2 linked regions of the Astyanax mexicanus genome follow. The protein of the gene in region 2 interacts with the protein of the main gene of each other region in a pairwise test. Links are inferred from orthologs where the notes say so. Each region holds a gene or a part of one and is shown on either strand. Other genes may lie near its edges.

Region 1 (10,486 bases), on a different chromosome or scaffold from region 2:
CGAGAGAGAAAAGAGTGAACAAGTAGGGAGAGAAAGGTGGGCGAGCAAAGAGCTCTCTCTCTCTCTCTCTCTAATGGCTGAATCAGTTCTGGGGTTTTTAGCTAAACACACAAAAGGCTGTGGGGGTTTGATTGGGGGGGTTGCGGTTCTGCTGAAGCAGCAGCTGGACTGACTCCATTACGCAGTTCTGACTGAGTTTTGACACTGTGTGACAGCCTGGCCATAAAGCTTTCAGTTTTTCATCAGACAGAAGCAAAACACATCACTGCAGAAACACAGCAGCTCCACGCTTTTAAAAACCACCATATCTAAAACTAGATATATTTTTCCTCCCCTTTCTTCAAACAGAAGGACGCTAAGACAAGCTAGGGTTGTTATTTTATGATAAAGTTGTTTAATACATGGTAAACAATTTGCCATATACAAGAAGATTCAATTCACTTCAGCTCATACTGATCCAAAAAGATTCAGTTCACTTCAGTTCAATACTGATCCAAAAAGATTTAGTTCACCTCAGTTTAATACGGATCCAAAAAGGTTCAGTTCACTTCAATTTAATACTAATGCAACAAGATTCAGTTCACTTCAGTTTAATACTAATCCAAAAAGCTTTAGTTCACTTCAATTCAATACTGATCCAAAAAGATTCAGTTCACTTCAGTTTAATACTAATCCAAAAAGCTTTAGTTCACTTCAATTCAATACTGATCCAAAAAGATTCAGTTCACTTCAGTTTAATACTGATCCAAAAACATTTAGTTCACTTTAGTTCAGTACTGATCCAAAAAGATTCAGTTCACTTCAGTTTAATACTGATCCAAAAACATTTAGTTCACTTTAGTTCAGTACTGATCCAAAAAGGTTCCGTTCACTTCAGTTTAATACTGATCCAAAAAGATTTAGTTCACTTCAGTTTAATACTGATCCAAAAAGGTTCAGTTCACTTCAGTTCAATACTGATTCAAAAAGGTTCAGTTCACTTCAGTTTAATACTGATCCAAAAAGGTTCAGTTCACTTCAGTTTAATACTGATCCAAAAAGATTTAGTTCACTTCAGTATAATACTGATCCAAAAAGGTTCAGTTCACTTCAGTTCAATACTGATTCAAAAAGGTTCAGTTCACTTCAGTTTAATACTGATCCAAAAAGCTTTAGTTCACTTCAGTTTAATACTGATCTGACATGATTCAGTTCACTATAAGTTAATACTGAACCAACAAAAAACAGTTTACTTCAGGTCTATACTGATTTGACACTATTCAGTTTTCTACAGTCCAGTACTGATTCAAAAATATTCTGTTCATTTCATTTTAATATTAATCCTACTGGAATCGAGACAATTTATTTTAAATTAGTGCAGATTAGTGCTGATCCTTTGGAATTTGATTCAGTTCACTTCAGTTTAATACTGGTCTGACTTGATTCAGATTCAGTTTCATACGATTCAGCTGATCCAACAAGACTCAGATCAGATCAGATCATCATTCAAAATCAGTCCACTTTAGTTCAGTACTGATTTAAAATGATTCAGTTTACTTCAGTTCAATACTGATACAGTTCAGTTTAGTACTGATCCTACATGATACGATTAAGTTCTCTTCAATTTAGATCTGATACTACTAGATACAATTCAGTTCACCTTCACTTTAATACTGATCCAACATGATCTGTTTCAGTTCAGAGGTCTAAACAGGTCTGAACAGGTTTAAAAGTTCAGCACCGATCCTACTGGATATGATTCAATTTAATGCTGATCCAAAATGATACAGCTCACTTCGGTGCAATGATTCAATCCTCCTCAGTTTAGCAGTAATCCTACTGGATATAATTCAGTTAATTTCAATCCAGCACGGATCCAAAATGATTCAGTTGACGTCAGTTCAGTACTGATTCAACATGATTTGGTTTAGTTCAGAGGTCTACACAGGTCTGAACAGGTTTGAAAGTTCAGCACTGGTAATACAAAAGCATTTAGTTCCCTTAGTTCAATAATGATCTTACTGGAATTTACACATTTTATAGAACTGATCCCACTGAATACACCTGTTATTTGATTTTTAATAATAGTGTTGAACATAGGTCATCAAAAAAAAAAAAAACATTTGCTGAATGAAGGGAAACGTTGCTTAGGGATTCTAACAGTCAGACACTGCCATCTGCTGGTCACATGCAGTCAATACTGACTGCAGCAACTGAAATTATTTCCTTTTATCAAAATATACAACATTTAAGAGCAGGACAGGTGTGTGAGTGGTGCTGTATGAAAGGGCGGGGTTTAAAAGTACCTTAGCGCTCCCTTCTGGATCCAGCTCATTTACACACGACACATATTCTTGCATAGCCTGTTCTTTACTCATATCCCCCAGATCCTTCCACGCCGTCCTGCAGAACACACACACATACACACACACACACCTCTTAGCATTATAATATCATACAGAGGACCAAAAATAATCTGTGTTCTGATGTAACAGTTATATACACACTGATCAATAACATCATAAAATGATGACTAGTTTTTATACACATTATTCATTTGACTGTATAGGACACTGTGTAGTTCTAAAATTACAGACTGTAGATCTGTATCTGTTCTCTGCATACTTTATTATTATTATCCTCCTTTTATCCTGTTCCATAATACTCAAGACCCCACAGGAGAGAAAAACAACTCAGAGCAGCTATTATTATTATTATTATTATTATTATTATTATTATTATTTGGGTGGTGAGTCGTTTAAAACCTACAGCAGCACTGCTGTGTATGATCGACTCATATAACAGCACAACACACGCCTTCACCTCACAATCTCTGTTTTTCTTTAATGCTTCTAATGTATAATTTAGTTAAATGCAAATACAAAGAAAACTTGACAGATATTAAACATGTTATTAACTGTGACTAAATATACCACAAGGGTAATGCAGTTTATTTATTTATTATTATCTGTCTAAATCAACTGTCTGTAAACATGCTGAGACTCACCATTTTCTCTGACCCTCGAAATCGAAGAATCCTGGTTTGGGTGTGTCACACTTTCCAACTTTAGCCTGGTGAATAAACAGCATAAACATTATAAGAACAAATAAACATTATACAGCATTATATTACAGCGTACTACTCTTATTAAATGTTATTACAGTAGAAATACACTGTTTCTAACAAAAATGGCCAGTGAGTGAAAGCAGGTAGGTGTTTCTAATAAAGTGGCCAGTGAGTGGAAGCAGGTGGGTGTCTTATAAAGTGGCCAGTGAGTGGAGGCACAAGGTAATAAGTAGGTGTTTCTAATAAAAATGGCCAGTGAGTGAAAGCAAGTAGGTGTTTCTAATAAAGTGGCCAGTCAGTGGAAGCAAGTAGGTGTTTCTAGTAAAGTGGCCAGTAAGTGAAAGCAAGTAGGTGTTTCTAGTAAAGTGGCCAGTCAGTGGAAGCAGGTACGTGTTTCTAATAAAGTGGCCAGTCAGTGGAAGCAAGCAGGTGTTTCTAATAAAGTGGCCAGTCAGTGAAAGCAAGCAGGTGTTTCTAGTAAAGTGGCTAGTAAGGGGAAGCAAGTAGGTGTTTCTAATAAAGTGGCCAGTCATTGAAAATAAGTAGTTGTTTCTAATAAAGTGGCCAGTCAGTGGAAGCAGGTAGGTGTTTTCTAATAAAATGGCCAGTGAGTGAAAGCAAGTAGGTGTTTCTAATAAAGTGGCCAGTCAGTGGGAGCCGGTAGGTGTTTCTAATAAAGTGGCCAGTCATTAAAAGTAAGTAGGTGTTTCTAATAAAGTGGCCAGTCAGTGGAAGCAGGTAGGTGTTTCTAATAAAGTGGCCACAGAGGTGCACAAGGTACAGTAGGTGTTTTTAATAAATGGGTCAGTAAGTGAAAGCACAAGGTAATAAGTAGGTGTTTCTAATAAAGTGGCCAGTGAGTGGAGGCACAGGGTAATAAGTAGATGTTTCTAATAAAGTGGCCAGTGAGTGGAAGCACAAGATAGTAAGTAGGTGTTTCTCATAAAGTGGCCAGTGAGTGGAAGCACAAGATAGTAAGTAGGTGTTTCTAATACAGTGGCCAGTCAGTAAAAGCAGATAGGTGTTTCTAATAAAGTGGCCAGTAAGTGTAAGCACACGGTAGGGACGTTTCTATTAAAGTGTCCAGATGTGGTTGTTAATATGAGGATAATCAGAAGCCCCTCCCCCTCCTCTCACCTGTTTGTACCTGGCGTACAGGTAGAGCAGCTTGTCTCTGGGTGCTGTTTGGACCAGTTCTCTGACCCGGTCCGCTGCACTCTCGAATTCCTCCTGAAGCTCCGAACCGTCAGAGTCCGGCGAGGACGAGCGCGAGGCCATGGCGGGATTATTAATAAGAGTAATGATACAGAGAGGAGCAGCACTAATACGCGAATTATTATTATTAATAACAGTAAAAACAGCGACGCTGCGGGATAAACCTGCTGATCTACAGCATTCAGCTTCACACACACCGCTCACACACACAACATCCGGGTCACGGGGGCGGGGCCTCCTCAGATCCCCACCCGTATTGTGCCCCGCTGTGTTCTGATTGGCTGGTTCACTGTAAAATCTGCAGAACTAACATTTTGACTCCATTATTTACTGAACTATACATAGTTCACGAATCATTCAAATGTAGTTTGTATTTTATTATTTAATGCTCCTTTGAAAGGGTTATTTAGTATTATTTAGTATTTTATAATTAATCATTATCTGGATTTGTGTCTGCATTATACTCGATTATTTACAGTATTGTGTGATTATGGTGTGAACTGTGGGCTGGATTTTTATTTGTGTTTACTAAACTTTATGCTTAGTTATAATCTATTACACTAAATATATCAGAAATTGTCATGAATTATTCATATTGACATCAACATAGGATTAATAGGACAATTTAAAGAAAATAAAAAAAGGATTGTTTATCATATTTATTTATTAGATGTTTGATGCGTTACCTAATAAATATGTATTAGAGTGCTAATTTTAATAGAAACGTTGCTGCACAATTTACAGAATTATTTAATGTATTTTCTGATTCATTATTCGCTATTTTCTCTGCATTTTACTCACGATTATTTATAGGATTGTGGTTGTTATGATATCAATTTGAGCTGTTTTTTATTTTATGTAATTTAGTGAATGTAAATATGCTGAGTTATAATCTATTTCTATAATTATGTAACCCATTTTGAGATTAATAGAATTATATACAGAAAAAATGGATTAATCATATTTATTTATTTTACGTTATGTTGGTTGTTTTACACACCAGCATTAAAATAATAAGTAGTAAGTAGTAGTATAATTATTATATAATTTACTCTATGTTGCATTGTTTACTGTAACATCTATAACTACTTAAACCAACAAAAATATATATTTTAATGTTGTTTGTTTAATATTGTAATTAATGTTATTATAATATATATTTTATTCGAAGTAGCCACTCAGTAAGAGGTCAGGATTTGCAGATGGCGGAAAACAGGCGTAAATAAAAGTGGGTTCCTATTGGTCCGGGCAGGTCCGGCGCTGTAAATGCTCCGGATTGACCCGGACTGAACGGTGGAGCGGGATTACAGAATGAATACAGAGTTCGAGTTCGGTCTGATTAATCCGGCTTTACTGATTCTCTGGATAACTTAAATCTGAGTTTTATTAAACACAGCGCGTGCTGTTTCGCAGCGAGCATGACCTGGGCCAATCAGAGAGGAGCAAGCTCTCGAAGACCACGAGCTTCTGACCAATCAGGGGCGAGCTTTATTTTTCTATTTTTTTCTTCAATTATCTGTTATTCTAATATCTAATATCTTCTAATGTCTATCTATTTTGTTTGTTTGTTTGTTTGTTTGTTTAAACTCTGTCATATAAAGAAAGCATTTTATGCATTTTTACCTGTATGCGTCATTCTGGGACGAGCTTCTAACCAATCAAAGCCGAGCTTTATTTTTATGTTCCCAAGATTTACATAGTTTGGAATTTTATAAAATAAAGGATGAATTATTTTTAATTGTAGTTATTTAAAAATAGTGATGTTTTACATTATAAAGTTATACAGTTCAGTTTTTGTGAATTAAAAAGTGTTAAACAAACCAAATTATGTTTTATATTTTAGATTATTTTAAGCATCACATTTATCTTTGAGTACAGATCTGCACACTCTAGGTGAAAACTACCTGGAATAGTTTTCTCAGTGTCTTAAAGGTGTTCCTGGAGGTGCTGAACAACATTTGCTGCTTTTTTGCTGCTTGTTTTGTTTACTTTAATTACCACAAGAAAAACATTAATTATATTTAATATTTTGTTTGCCCATAAATTAGTACAGTGTTTATTTATGTTGAATAATAAAGTTGCATTACTGGCTGAGCCCGCAGGGTGGCGCTGTGTCCGTGCGTTTTACACACACAGAGTGCTGACTGTTTGCTTCTTCAGAGGAAAAAACTCACACGACTATTTTCCAACCTTTCTTTTATCCCTATGTTTAACACAGTGCTTTCAGGAGCGTGTTAATAAATAAATTAAAGACATATTTCATACTGAATAACTTCTGAATAATTCATTGTAGATACTGAGTGTTACTCTTTCAAGGATTTCAGGTTCGGCTGATTTTATCCGGTCCTGTCTGACTAATGATGGAGACTGATGTTGCTACTGGATTGTCTCACACTCTCACAAATATAACTCATCCCATTATTATATAATATATCCACATGACTTCAATGGTTTTGCTAACCTCAGCATCCTTTTTAGGCATGAGAGCCTATTAACATAAATTAAATAATTTTGCTTATGTCTTATTTACTTACAATTTTTAAGCACCTACTTATTACGATATTTGTTTTAATTACAGTGTACAAATATGTATGCCAATAATTACAAGTTAATTGCTATTTGAATTAATTGTATCATTATATGTTTACCATTTTTATCAGTGGCATAAAAAAGAGTTCTCAGAATGAACCAGGCTGCTGTAGTGCTAGTAGTATTTGTAGTTGTTGCAGCAGTAGTAGGTGTAGTAATATAATTAGCAATAGTAGTAGCAGTAGTAGCAATAGTAGTAGAAGTAGTAGTTGTAATAGTAGTTGTTATGGTTTTAGTTGTAGCTGTTGTAATAGAAGTAGTAGTAGTAGTTGTAGTAGTATATGTGTAAGGTTGTAATAGTCATAGTAATTGAGTAGTTGATGGTTTAATCAATTATGAATTGTTTTTTTTATTTTCTTTATTATTGTTGTCCTTGTTATTAATTTTTGGTATATTATAATTTTTCCTATGCGTGCTTTGTGACAGCCTCAGCTGTGAAATCTGTGAAATACAACATATGTATTAAACTGTTATTAATATTTTAGTAGTAATAGTAATTAAATCAACCTTTTTTAAAATTCAATACTAATAATGTAGGCAAGTTCACTGTATAGTAGTAGTTTTATTTTTTTATTTTTTAAATTAATAGTAGTAATTTGTAATAGTTGTAGAATATTTAATTAATTATTTTTTCATGTTATGAAGTAGCTGTAACATTTTAACATATTATTATTATTATTTTATTTTATTTATTTTTATTTTTTATCTGTATTTATTTATTTTTTGCTATATTTGGTGCTATGTTAAATTTAAATAAACGGCAGCGCGTCTGTGCGTCATGACGCAGGCCGGTGTACGCCGCAGGGGAGGAGGGAGGGGCAGAATGAGAGAGGGGGCGGGGCCTGTTGAGGAGGGCGGGGCAGTGAGTGGGTTACAGCAGATTCAGTCGCAGTTCTTCAGTCAGACTCTCTCTCTTTCAGTCTGTGTAACTCTCCCTCTCTCTCTTTCTCTCGGACTGAGTTTGTTTACTCGGGCTCGCGGATATGCCTCTGACAGCGTGATAAGCGCGCGGACAAACACACGGCAGAGATTATCCCGGAGCTTTAGTGTGTGTGGAGTGTGTTGAGGGGTGAGAGAGTGTGCGGGGGGTGAGGGAGTGATCGGATCTTCAGGATGAAGTTCGCTGAGCACCTTTCAGCCCACATCACCCCCGAGTGGAGGAAACAGTACATCCAGTATGAGGTACACACACACACTCACACACACTCACTCACACACACTCACACACACTCAGGGGTCAGTGAGGTCAGAGAGTGTATAAAGTGTAACAGCATGACCGTGAACTTTGGACCTGAATTATTCTTGAATTAAAGTCAGTTTTCCAACCTGTTTAGATTTATTCCAGATTATTCTGTCCTGTTCAGATTTATTCCAGATTATTCTGTTCTGTTTAAATTTATTCCAGATTATTCTGTTCTGTTCAGATTTTTTTCCAGATTATTCTGTTCTGTTCAAATTTATTCCAGATTATTCAATCTGTTCAGATTTATTCCAGATTATTCCAACCTGTTCAGATGTATTCCAGATTATTCCAACCTGTTCATATTGATTCTGGGATTATTCTGCCCTGTTCATATTTATTCCAGATTATTCCAACCTGTTCAGATTTATTCTGGAATATTTTGCCATGTTCAGATTTATTGTAGATTATTTTGGCCTGTGCAATTTTATTCCAGATTATTCCCACCTGTTTAGATTTATTCCAGATTATTTCAGCCTGTTCAATTTTATTCCAGATTATTCCGATCTGTTTAGATTTATTCCTGATTATTTCAGCGTGTTCATATATATTCCTGCTTATTCCAACCTGTTTCGATTTATTAAAGATTATTCCGACCTGTTCAGATTTATTCCAGATTATTGCAACCTGTTCAGATTTATTCCAGATTATTCCAACCTGTTCAGATTTATTCCAGATTATTCCAAACTGTTCAGATTTATTATAGGATATTCCAACCTGTTCAGATTTATTCCAGATTATTCCAACCTGTTCAGATGTATTCCAGATTATTCCAACCTGTTCAGATGGATTCCAACCTGTTCAGATTTATCCCAACCTGTTCAGATTTATTCCAGATGATGGGCAATAGTCTGATTTATTTCAGATCATTCCAGTTTTAATATTGCATAGCATTATTATCAAAACTAAGTAATAATATTTTAATTTATAAGAGTCATGTTTTGTTTTATTCTGGATTATACTGACATTTTTTTAGCTTCACCCTGTTTTAAACTGACTTGCTTGGACATATGCTGTCTTAATTTGACATATTTTAACACATCTTTGTGTGAATTTTGCATACTATGTGGCTTTCATGTCAGTTTTGACTTTTCCTTAGTTGTTTTCTGGGTTTATTTTGCCTGCCTTAGATTATTTCTTTTCTTTTTTTCCAGATTATTTTGATTTCTCTTGATATATTCGGACTGTTTGCAGGTGCCTCTTAATTGTTCTTACTTAGTCGGGTTTATTTTGTGGTGGATTATTTAGATTTAGATTTATTAGATTATTCTCATTAATTATTTATGATATATTTTGCATTATTTCTGAAATATTGTGTATTCGTCAGATAAATTCTGGGTTGTTTTATTTGTAATGGATTATTCTGATTCATTCTGGATTTTTTTTTATTTATTTTGGATTATTCTTGGTGATCCTGATGTTCTTCTTGTCATGAGTGATGGAGAATCAGAAGTAGCTCTTTGATCTTCAGTAGAACTAAGCATGGTGAGGGATAGTTCTGGTGCAGATGTAAAACATAATGGGCTTTTGCAATAACAAGTGATTAACCTGTATAAACGCTCGTCCACACTCCCCCAACCCACCCCCCGGCCAAGCTATCATTCTTATACATGTCAATGGTGGTCACTGGAAGTGTTTGTGTGTGTGTGTGTGTGTGTGTGTGTGTGTGTGTGTGTGTGTGTGTGTGTGCGTGTGTGTGTGAGTGTGTGTGGGATCATGCGGCTCTTTGTCTTCGCCTTGTTCGGCCCCGGACCTCCTCCTAAATCAGTCTTTATCTCTCACGCTCCCAGTGGGACAGAACCAGCACCCATCTGTCAGAATTCCCCTCCACACTGAATTCATTTGTCTTATATATGAACACACACACACACACACACACACACTGATTACAGCCTGTAGATTCAGGGACGGCTAGAAAATTTGACTAGAAAATTCAATTTTTATTTTTCAAGTTTATAAATTGTTCTATATTTACTTTTAGAATTGAATTTAAAATATTTTTGTTTCTTTATATTAAGCTTTTACAATATTTTTTTCTTTATTTATTAATTTCTATATCATTCAGAAAAGATATATCCCTCATATATTACTTATGTGCTTTGTTATAATTGAAACATAATGTTATTATAGAGAAGCATGCTTCAGTAAGTGGAGAAAATTCATGTAATACGTATAATTTTTAAAATCTCTATTTAATTAGTTTGAGTCATGAATTTATATCTATATTAAACAGTATAAAATATATAAATAACAAAAACACTACTTTTTTTAAGATTAAAGGATTAAAGGCTATATATATATATATATATATATAAATAGAGAAACAAAGCTATATATATATATATATATATATATATATATATATATATATATATATACATACGCACATTTCCGCT
Region 2 (10,771 bases):
GCCCACCTTTAGTAACTCACAACATTGTTACAATCTCCCAAAAACATGTTATATATCAACTTTCTGATTCAACACAAAGCTACATTTCAAAATACTGTCAATGTGCATAGGACCAAACAGACAATGTTGTGGCAACAAGAACAGCCTAAAGGTAGTAGCTACGGTTTACGCTGCCTTAAAAAATAATATTCACAATTTTCCCAACCTTCACAACAGGGTCACAACATTTTCTTTAATTAACCCACCACTCAAACGTTGTGACAAGTGCTTTCTAACAACTTTGTCAAAAGGTGGTGCTGTTTGTTGTCTCAAAATTGTTATCAAATCATTGTCATGACCTCCTGGCTTGCTGTTAGGTAGAGAACATTTTCACAACTTTTTGACTTACTGATTAGTTACATTTTACACACTGTTGGACAAAAAGTAAAAATATACCCCCTTACATTACTTTCACAAATTAGTAGTTTTAAAACCAGTATTTTTACACTATTACTTGAGTATAAAGCTTGAGTTGATACTACTGAAGGTTTTTTTAAACCCTAGTATCTATACTTATACCTGAATAATGAATGTCAATACTCAATATGTGGCTGTCCTAGCATTGCCACAAAGTTGTCAAAAAAGCCACAGTGCTGTCAACATTAGGTTGTCACATTGTTGTCAGAAGGTGGTAGATACTGTTTACAGCATGATTTTAAAGACAGCGTAAACAGTATCTACCACCTTCTGACAACAATGTGACAAACTTTTGTTTAACTAATAACCTTTTAAAAGTTTTGACAATGCAGCAGTAGTTTCTCACAACATTTTCTGCTTTTAACCTTATGGCATGCTTTCACACAGCCGGTGGTTAACAGTGGCAAAGTGTTCTCTTTTATCACCTTTCAAACATTGCGACAACACAGCAATAGGTTGTCACAACGTTGTCTAATTTCTTACAATGTTGTCAAAATTGGTGCTGTTTGTTATTAAAATGTTGTCAAAAACTTCTGGCATGCTGTTAACTAGCTAGATTAGGTTTTAATTTATTGACTTTCTAATTAATTATGCTGTTAGATAACAAAACAAAAGGTTGTCACAATGTTGTCCAAATGTGGTGCTGTTTGTTGACTGAAAACTGTTATTAAAAGGTTGTCATGCCCTCCTCGCATGAAGTCAGATAAGGTTTTCACAACTTGTTGACTTAGTAACTAATTACATTTTACACGTTTTGAAAACGTAGAGGGCACCAAACCTCAGGCTGTCCTAGCGTTGTCCTAGTGTTTTCAAAAACACCTGCCAGAATGCGATCAGATAAAAAAACAATAGGTTGTCACAACGTTGTTAAAAGGTGGTGCTGTTTATTGTCTCAAAACGTTGGGGCAACTTAGAGCGCACCAAACAACAGGCTGTCCCAGCGTTGAGACAACACAGCAATAGGTTGTCGCGACGTTTTATGCTTTTCTTGCAACGTTGTCAAAACGTGGTGCTGTTTGTTGTCTCAAAACTGTCATTAAAACGTTGTCACGACCTTCTGACATGCTGTCAGATAATGTTTTCTCAAGTTTCTGCTTAATTAGCTGCATGTACACGTTGTGGGAACGTAGAGAGCACCAAACAACAGGCTGTCCCAGCGTTGTCAAGACGTTGCCGTGTTTGTTTGTTAGCTAATTAGCTAGCTAACATCATTTCAATAACCGGCCTGTCATCAGCTAGCTCGTTAGCTTGCTGGCTAATCTTACCGGCTACACAGAAACGTTAGGTTTTCTAGCTTACTAGCTTTAGTAGATTAGTGCTGGTTTGGTGACCACCGTCAGTAAACGTCTGCTATTTAACCCAACTTTAGGCGTTAAATAACAGCCCTGATTAAAAATGCGCAGTTAATTTACACAAGAAAATGCCTATTAGCTGATTTAACATCACAGCCAGCCTGAAAACAGAGCCCTGCCTCCCATTCAAACCAGCTTTAGCCACTGAGCTTTAGCCGCTATCAGTGAGAAAACCGATATATAACCGCAGCACAGGAACGATTTCAGAATTGTTTTAGTGCTCAGCTGTAAATCCGAGCCCTGCCAAACCCAGATTTCTCACTTAAACCACAGAACAACCCGCCGACATCCACAAACCGCTTATTGTTGACAGCTAGCTAAGCTAAGCTAACCTAGCTAACAGAGCTAAGCTAATGCTAGTTAGTTAGCTAGCAAACACGGCTAGCCGCGGTGCAGAGAGACTCTGTACAGAGGAGAACACCCACTTAACTTAACCCCTTAACAGGCTAGCATTTTTGTCAATTTTCTGCCTGATATTACACACCAAAATCTTTTTCTATTTATGAACTACATAAAAAAGATTTCATGTTTAATGATAAACGTTGCTGCAAATTCTAATTGTAATCGTAATAGAAATTATCTTAAAAATGTAAGTAAATCTGCAACTTAAAAAATATAATGACTAACAATCATAAAATTGGCTCTTTACTAGGGGCGGGCGATATGGCTCTAAAATAATATCACAATATTTCAGGGTATTTTTGAGATAATGATAAAGGATAACTAAAATAATTCATTTCATTTCAGGAATATAGTATAATACTATAACAGAATAATCATAATGTGGCAAAATAAATAATATAGCATAAAATAATATAATGCAGCAAAAAATATTGCAGAATATTTAGTGCATGCATATAAACTGCAAACTTAAACAATTTTACAATAAATAAACCTAAAGCTTCACAGTAAATAATAGACAGAACAGCCCTATTATCACAATATGGATTTTTAATATCATGATATTTCTGTGCCACGATATATTGTATACGATATAATATTGCCCACCCCTACTCTTTACTGAACTTCAATACAAATCAGAGATTTATTTCTTCCAAACCTTTCGTTTTGTTACGGTTGTCTAGTTTTTACGTCTATTTTCAAACATGCAGAATTTGGGTTGATTCCTGTTACTGATCTGAAATTATGTTACTGATCTGGAATTATTAAGTGGAGTAGAGAGCGAACAGGCAGCTTCTCCAAGTGTCCAGAGGAAATTTCAACCCCCTCAAAGTTTTCAGAATGTTAATGACCTATTTTACTGCAGAAAAAAGGGTTTTGTATCACCTACACTTGTAGCCTGTTATCCCTGAGGTTAACTTAACCTCTCTAGGGTTTGTTTCAACAATATAATAAAAAAAATGTAAGAATGCTGTTTTCTGACTGTAATGCACAGAAAAGAAGACTAATATTCTACTATAAAATTCACATAGAAAATTTTAACCAATTAAGTATTTTTTTTTATTTCTATTGCATTGTGAGCCTACGTGTAATATTTTGTATTTTATATTGAACGTTTTATTTCATAAACCATCCCTAAACAGTAAAAAAAAAAAAAAAAAAAAAAAAAACTTCAAATTTCATTGTTGACTAATCATTAATTTGTAACGTTACTGCATTACACAAAGTGCTGGGGACAGAATTGTAATGGGAGATGGGTAAAAGGCTCACTCACACAGTTTACACTTAACTTGTCTGTATGTCCAAAAATGCCCAAACACAACAGATTCCATATTTATTCACAAAATATTAGCACTTTTACTATGTTAAAACAACATATAAACATAAAAGGCTTTTAAATCTCATGTTTCTATCATTTTTAGAGATGGAGGACATGGCAGAAATAATCGTGGACTAATCGACTAATCAAAAAAATAATCATTAGATTAGTCGACTACCAAAATAATCATTAGTTGCAGCCCTAATATAAAATGCCTTTTAAACTCAGGGATGAAACTGTTAACTCTAGGTTAATCAGCCAAACAGCTCACAGTAGCAGTAACGCTAGCGCCTTTACTGCCTAAAACCAGCTTACTGTAGGAAATATAAAAGATACAGGTACGTTATCTTTGCTTCGTTAGCGAAATACTTAATTATAATTTCCAAAACTAAACGAATATCCCTGACAATTAGTTGATTACAATTTTAAAGAAGAGTTTTTAGCCGATTAGCTCCATTCACCCCCGTTCATTATGGGCTCCCTCGCGGACGCCCCCTACTGGTCAGCAGTGATTTCTCTGCTATAACAGCGTGTAGGCTCGCCATAAACCGGCTGTGGCCGCGGTGCTAAGCAGGCGCTGTGAGACCCATCAGATTAAAGGGCATTTTTAGGAGTTTTCTGCGGATTTCGGACGCTGCTCACCCCTGCATGTGCTCATTCTCCTCCTCGTTGTCTCCGTCGATGCCGCAGGTGTCCTGGTCGTCCAGCTCCAGGCTCTGCTGGCTGGCCGCAGACTCGCTGTCCTCCGCCATCGCCGGGGTAGAGAGGCGCTCTGACCCGCTAGCTTAGCCTGCGAGCTAACCTGATCACTGCACTGAGAGACAGCGGGGGAAACAGCGCCCTCTACACACAGAGCTCCAACACTGCACCCTCCTTCTTAGGCCTGTTCCTATACAGTGCTGAAAAAATTAACTGACCTCTTCAGTTTCTGAATCAGTTTCTCTGATTTAGTTATTTATAGGTTTATGTTTGAGTAAAATGAACATTGTTGTTTTATTCTATAAATTACAGACAGCATTCATCCCAAATTCCAAGTAAAATATTGTCATTTACAGCATTTATTTGCAGTAACTATGAAATGGCTGAAATAACAAAAAGATGCAGAGCTTTCAGACCTCAAACAATGCAAAGAAAACAAGTTCATATTCATAAAGTTTTAAGAGTTTAGAAATCAATATTTAATGGAATAATTCAGATTTTTAATCACAGTTTTCATGCATCTTGGCATGTTCTCCTCCACCAGTCTTACACACTGCTTTTGGATAACTTTATGCCACTCCTGGTGCAAAAATTCAAGCAGTTCAGCTTTGTTTGTTGGTTTGTGATCATCCATCTTCCTCTTGATTATATTCCAGAGGTTTTTAATTTGGTAAAAATCAAAGAGACTTATAATTTTTAAGTGGTCTCTTATTTTATTTCCAGAGCTGTAAGTGCTTCCACTGCTGACACATGACAGGTGCATCTAAAAAAAGAATATAATTAAAAAGGTAAGCTATTTCAGTAATTCAGTTCAAAATCTGAAACTTACATATTATATAGATGTATTTCTCACAGAGTGATCTATTTTAAGCGTTCATTTATTTTATTGTTAGTAATTATGGCTTACATCTCAGAAAATTTGAATATGATTAAAGACTAATTGGTACTTTTGACAGTGTACCAAGTCCTGCTGAAAAATGCAATCTGCATCTCCATAAAAGTTGTCAGCAGAGGGAAGCATGAAGTGCTGTAAGATTTCCCAGGAAAACCCTGCCCTGACTTTGGATTAGATACAGCTCTGGAAAAAAAATAAGAGACCACTTAAAAATAATTAGTTACTTTGATTTTACCAAATAAAAAAACCTCTGGAATATAATCAAGAGGAAGATAGATCCAAAAGCAGTGTGTAAGACTGGTGGAGGAGAACATGCCAAGATGCATGAAAACTGTGATTAAAAACCAGGGTTATTCCACCGAATTATGATTTCTGAACTCTTAAAACTATGAATATGAACTTGTTTTCTTTGCGTTATTTGAGGAATTAAATAATAGAAAAATATGAGAAGAATGGCATTTTTCTTTACTGATCAACACTTTTGTGTTTATTTTTATCCTTGAGCTCGAAGGGGTCAATAAAACTCTCTGATCTCTGTTCACTCGAAATAATTCTGTTCCGCTGTCCAGCTTTGTTCATCTTCAAGCAGTGGAGGAGTACAGGCAGAACATCACTCTCTCCTGCACCAAGACCTGCATCACCACATTTACAGTGGTGTGAAAAGTATTTGCTCCCCTAGAGCTTTCTTTTTTTTTTTTTTTTTGCTTTTTTGTCGTACAAATATTTTTCTGATTATTAAACAATCTTTAATAGCAAATATAACCCGAGTACATATATAAAGCACTTTTTAAACAATTGTATTTATTAAACAAAAAAACTATCCAAACCAATCCTATCCAACCTAGCCCTGTGTGGAAAAATGCCCGTAAAACTATTAACTTGTTTGTTCTATTCTTGGCAAAAACTGCAATCAAGCTTAATTCAGACACATTGGAGGATTTTCGAGGATGAACAGCCTGTTTAAGATCATCCACACCATCTCAATCAGACTTTAACTAGGTCACTCCAAAACCTTCATTTAGTTTTTTTTTTAAACTATTTAGAGGTGAACTTGTTTGTGTGCTTTGGGTAATTGTCCTGCTGCAGAACCCAATAATGCCTGAGCTTGAGGTCATGAACAGACCCTGAAGCAGCAAAACATGCCCAGACCATCACACTAGCACCACCATGTTTTACGTTCAGTATGATGTGTTTGATGTTCGTTGTGGATGATTTTCAGTGTGATGTTTAGATTCTTTAGTTCACTGATGGTTGTGGATAGTAAATAAATTGGCTATATTTCACATTGTGTCCTAGGGTTCCTAGTTGGGAAGTTTCTCAATAACCAAACCTGTCTGAAATACTTCATTTACATCACAACCATTAAACTGAACTGGTAAATTAATGTAATCCAAACACTATGTGGCATTTCACTGTCGGTGCTAAATCCTGGTTATATGGTCACGAACAGAGCATTAAAATAAAAAAAAATAAAAAACACAACTACAGATTTTTTTGTATGTTTTATTGGATAATTAAGCCTTAATTATAATACAAGCAAGCAGTCAGAGCATTCAGAGTAGACTGATGAAGAGTGCTGTACAGTACTGACTCAAGAGTGGTTCTCTCACAGTTAGAAACGCCATCAAACACAACTTTCATATTCGTACAGTCTCATATACAGTCTCATTTGCTTAGACAGCCGCTACATCTGCAGCAGGTGTAGCACGTCCACAAAAAACACACAAACACTCCCAAACCTGATCAAACACAGCCAGAAAAGTACACTCATATAAAGACATATACAATACAGCATACACATCTCTCTTTCTCTCACTCTCTCTTTCAGACACACAGCGACAGTAATCAGGGGCTAAAAACAATAGTGGGCAGCTTTCCATGTGGGGATCAAGCCTAGTCTCAGACTACAGAGCAATTTAAACTGAACTTTTACATTAAAAGGAAATTACGATGTACAGCAAGGCTTAATCCCCATCAGGAAAACTATCTCTACATGTCTTTAATGGTCAGATGGAAGTGAGATCTGATGAGATCCAATCTGATAAGTGATGGTGGTGAAATGGACACATCAGCTTGAGGCACTTCTGACAGAAACAGCTGTTTTTGGGATGTAAAAGAATGTACGGCTGCGTGTGTATGATGTATTCATTCTTAAATAAAGGCAAATCCGAGCAATGAGTTAAAAACAACTTGGTTTGCTGGATAAAACATTCACTAAAATATTGCATTTTAAACCACAGAGCAGTGAATAAAATGGGGAAAAAGGCATATTGAGCTTTCAAATTGTCAGTATTTACGCAATGCATAGCTGTGGCACTGTGGTGAGCATTATGGGCCTGCATGTGTGAAGCACATCCGCAAGTTCACAAATGTAACAGTACGACAACACTGAGAATCTGTCCGCTTGAGAATTGTCAAATAATACAGAAAAGATTGTGCAGCATCTGCATCATTTGCTAAACTGTAAGATACTTTTCCCTCCACTATATATATATATATATATATATATATATATATATATATATATATATATATATATATATATATATAAAGTTGGATTACCGTTATCTGCTCTAGAGTGTCTTCAGTACATCACTATGAGTAGTGGACAACTTGTGTGACGTCTGTAAGAGCAATGGGTGCAACTTGAAGTAGCTGAATGCGTTCATTAGTGTCCACAAATAGTTGGATTTAGAGTGTATAGAGGGTAATACAATAAGTATTGTCAATTTCTTTGATTTACTGTTCGTATTCAGAATTTATAAATATGTAAATGTTTTTTAAATGATAGAAAGTTGCTTTATTACTTTATTTTCTCCTTCAAATTATATGGCTCTAGATCTGGATCAATCACAAACTCTGAGTAAGTGTTAAATTTATATTCTAATGCATTAAACAAATAAACACCAACGAAATTGAGACACTAAGACCCTGTTTTCACCTGGCCACTTTAGGCATCTTGAGTATCAGGATTTTATCCGTATAATGCTAACTCTTTTTAAGGTTTTAACACATCAAGATTGCATAACAGATACAAAGCTGATCACTTAATGCATATGGTTAATATCTCATCAGAATACAATCCAGATACAAAAATCACATGAAATAAGCAGGGGTGAATAGGGTCTTGCACAAAACAGAACAGACCAGAGCAGAGCAGATTCCATGGAAGACCGTTCATTAAATACATAACACAAGAGTTAAAAGCTGGGGAGTAAAGAACGGGAAAGGCTGCACACACTTACAATTCTCCTACTGCAGTGCCCATATGCTGCCAACCACACCATTGCATTGTATTGCTCACATTAACTACATCAGAAATTCATAAAGCTATACTTGGTCTTACAACTGGTCTTTTTTGCTCAGTTCATTTACAAAAATAATAAAAGGCATAGCTGTTGTGCATAAATGTGTTCAAAAGGAGTGCTTTTTTGCTTTTGAAGTTCAGTTCATACATACATAAGCATCCTGGGTAAGTTCCTGGATTGTGAACTTTGAAGCGCTGCTTAGAGTCAGTTCTGTATCAGTTCGAGTCTCAGCGCTTCTGCTTTTGGAAGTACAAAAAATATATATAGGCAAACCCAAAGCTTGTATTTAATGTGATAGTGTGGCAAAAATTCATATTCACACACTTTTCCCGCTCATCCCAAACTGTCAGTTAGTCAAGATATCTTTAGTGTCTGTAATTTCTTTTCTGTAGTTTCTAAATCAACAGTTAGTTTGCTAGCATTGTGCAGATCATATACCTTAATCAGTGATCACCAACACATCTTAATTTTAAGTCCAATCCTAACACTAACCCACCCCTCACCAGACCAATCTGGTTATTTCCCAATTAGCTAAATGAAGTGCATTAGATTTGGACTGAAAGTAAAACCTGTGGGAAGGTGGATCTTCAGGGTGAAGGCTGGTAATCACTGGCTTTAAACAGCCCTTCACTTGCCTCCAACAGAATCGTGCTGTTAAACTACTAAAAAAGACATCCTGGCAAGTGAAATCATCTTAAATGAAGTTCAATATCTCCAATATTCCTCATTATGATTGTTGTAAGCAGGCATAGGCAGATATAAATATGTCTCAGACAAAATGAAAAATTAGCATTTAATGGTGGCCAAAATATAACACTTTGTGACTATAAGCATTGGGCAATTGGCAATGATGGCCCTGCATGTAAGAACATAAATTATATATTTTTAAATGTATTTTTTTTTATTAGCACATGATCTGCTAAAACAAGAAAAATAACAAGTAAACTAACAGTCAAACCCTCTTACAACAACCTCAAAATAAGAAATACTGGACATATTGACCATATTAGTCACTATGTAGCCCTTAAGCCACTGTATGACAGTGGAGGGACTAAAATGGGTTAAATTTTTTGCTTTTATCCCTGTGTATTGTAAGTTGGACTGCTGCAAAAATGTAGACCATCTTGACCTGTAATATATCCTATAACATTGTAACAATCTGAACCCACATAATGCTGATTTAACTTGCTAACAAAGAACATCCTGGGTCTGCTGTGGAGTCCGATTAGGAAAATAGCAGAACTGGGACTTTATTATATATGCTCAAGAACAAAATGAATAAAGAAATTTTGGCTAATTCAGTGGGATATTTTTTGGAACTCATTATATGTGGGATGAAGAAAAATAATTTGCATATGTTTTAACTTTGCCAAACTATCACTTTAAAGGCAATTCCTGTCATTTGAACACGACCAAAATTGCTGAGTTTAATGCCTGGGGGGTCATTTCATAAAGGATAGCAGGGGTCGCTCCTCGCGCCTCTGCCAAGGGCTCTTTTTATTTTCGTCCTCACCGTTGTCATCAGGGGCAGCAAGGTCGTTCTTGTGTTCAGTTCTGAGGATCAGCTCTTCGTCTCCTCTCTCCTCCAGCTCCTCTACCTCCTCCACCATGGGCTCAGGGAGGGGAGGAGGTGAGGGCAGCGGAGGAGAAGGCAGCAATGGGGTTGGCGATGAAAGTGTTAAAGTCTCTTCTTGTGATTCGGGTCCTGCGCTCTCAGATAGCAAGAGGTTGAGCGAGTTTTCCTCTGGACTGCAAACTGGAGTGGGGATGACTTTGGCATTAGCGTTAGCATTATCATTAGCATCATCATTAGTTTTAGAACTCTCCACAAACACCAGCTGTGTGTATTCCAAAGTGGGCAATGTAGGCCGGGCTCGTTCTTGACCTCTGCCCTTGCGGCCTGGCGTGAGATCGCTCATGTCTACGCCCGAGTCCAGGCTAGCGTCGTTGCTCCCTGCAACACTAGCATTGTGGCTTGCCTTCTGCAGATCAATGTAAGAGTGGCGGATGTCGGCGTTTGAGCGGCCATCCAGTGACACAAACCAGGCTCGTGGGTGTGGGAGGGGCTTCCCGCCCCTCAGCTCCATTAGTGTCTTTTCAGCCAATAGCTGGTCCTCACCATTCATCTGCACCACCCCTAGCCCTGCCTGACTTAGCGAGTTGGGAATGGATAAAGCTTCGGGCAGAGCTGCAGTTTGTAAAGTCCACTCTTCTGCTGGCCTAGGCCCCTCCCCATCCCCTCCTGACCTCTCTTTCTCCTCCTCCAGAGCTCCTCCCTCTTTGTCCCCTTTTACTGCCTCTCCTTTGGACTGATGGGATGCGTTGAGTTCTGCCCGGATGC

The links.
Region 1: the proteins of nmt2 (region 2) and acbd6 interact in binary tests that used the Homo sapiens proteins (3 or more experiments, as listed by UniProt). The link is inferred for Astyanax mexicanus from reciprocal best matches to the Homo sapiens genes NMT2 and ACBD6.

What each region holds. Positions count from the first base shown.
Region 1 is NC_064419.1:9,251,985-9,262,470, reverse strand, and holds the start of acbd6 (acyl-CoA-binding domain-containing protein 6), read right to left. Parts: upstream 4,476-10,486; 5' UTR 4,325-4,475; coding exon 4,184-4,324; intron 3,052-4,183; coding exon 2,987-3,051; intron 2,383-2,986; coding exon 2,286-2,382; intron 1-2,285. Other genes in the region: xpr1a (xenotropic and polytropic retrovirus receptor 1a), read left to right, coding at 7,964-8,032. UniProt on the Homo sapiens protein: Binds long-chain acyl-coenzyme A molecules with a strong preference for unsaturated C18:1-CoA, lower affinity for unsaturated C20:4-CoA, and very weak affinity for saturated C16:0-CoA. Does not bind fatty acids. Plays a role in protein N-myristoylation.
Region 2 is NC_064408.1:111,973,262-111,984,032, reverse strand, and holds the start of nmt2 (glycylpeptide N-tetradecanoyltransferase 2), read right to left. Parts: upstream 4,326-10,771; 5' UTR 4,281-4,325; coding exon 4,171-4,280; intron 1-4,170. Other genes in the region: protein FAM171A1, read right to left, coding at 9,873-10,771.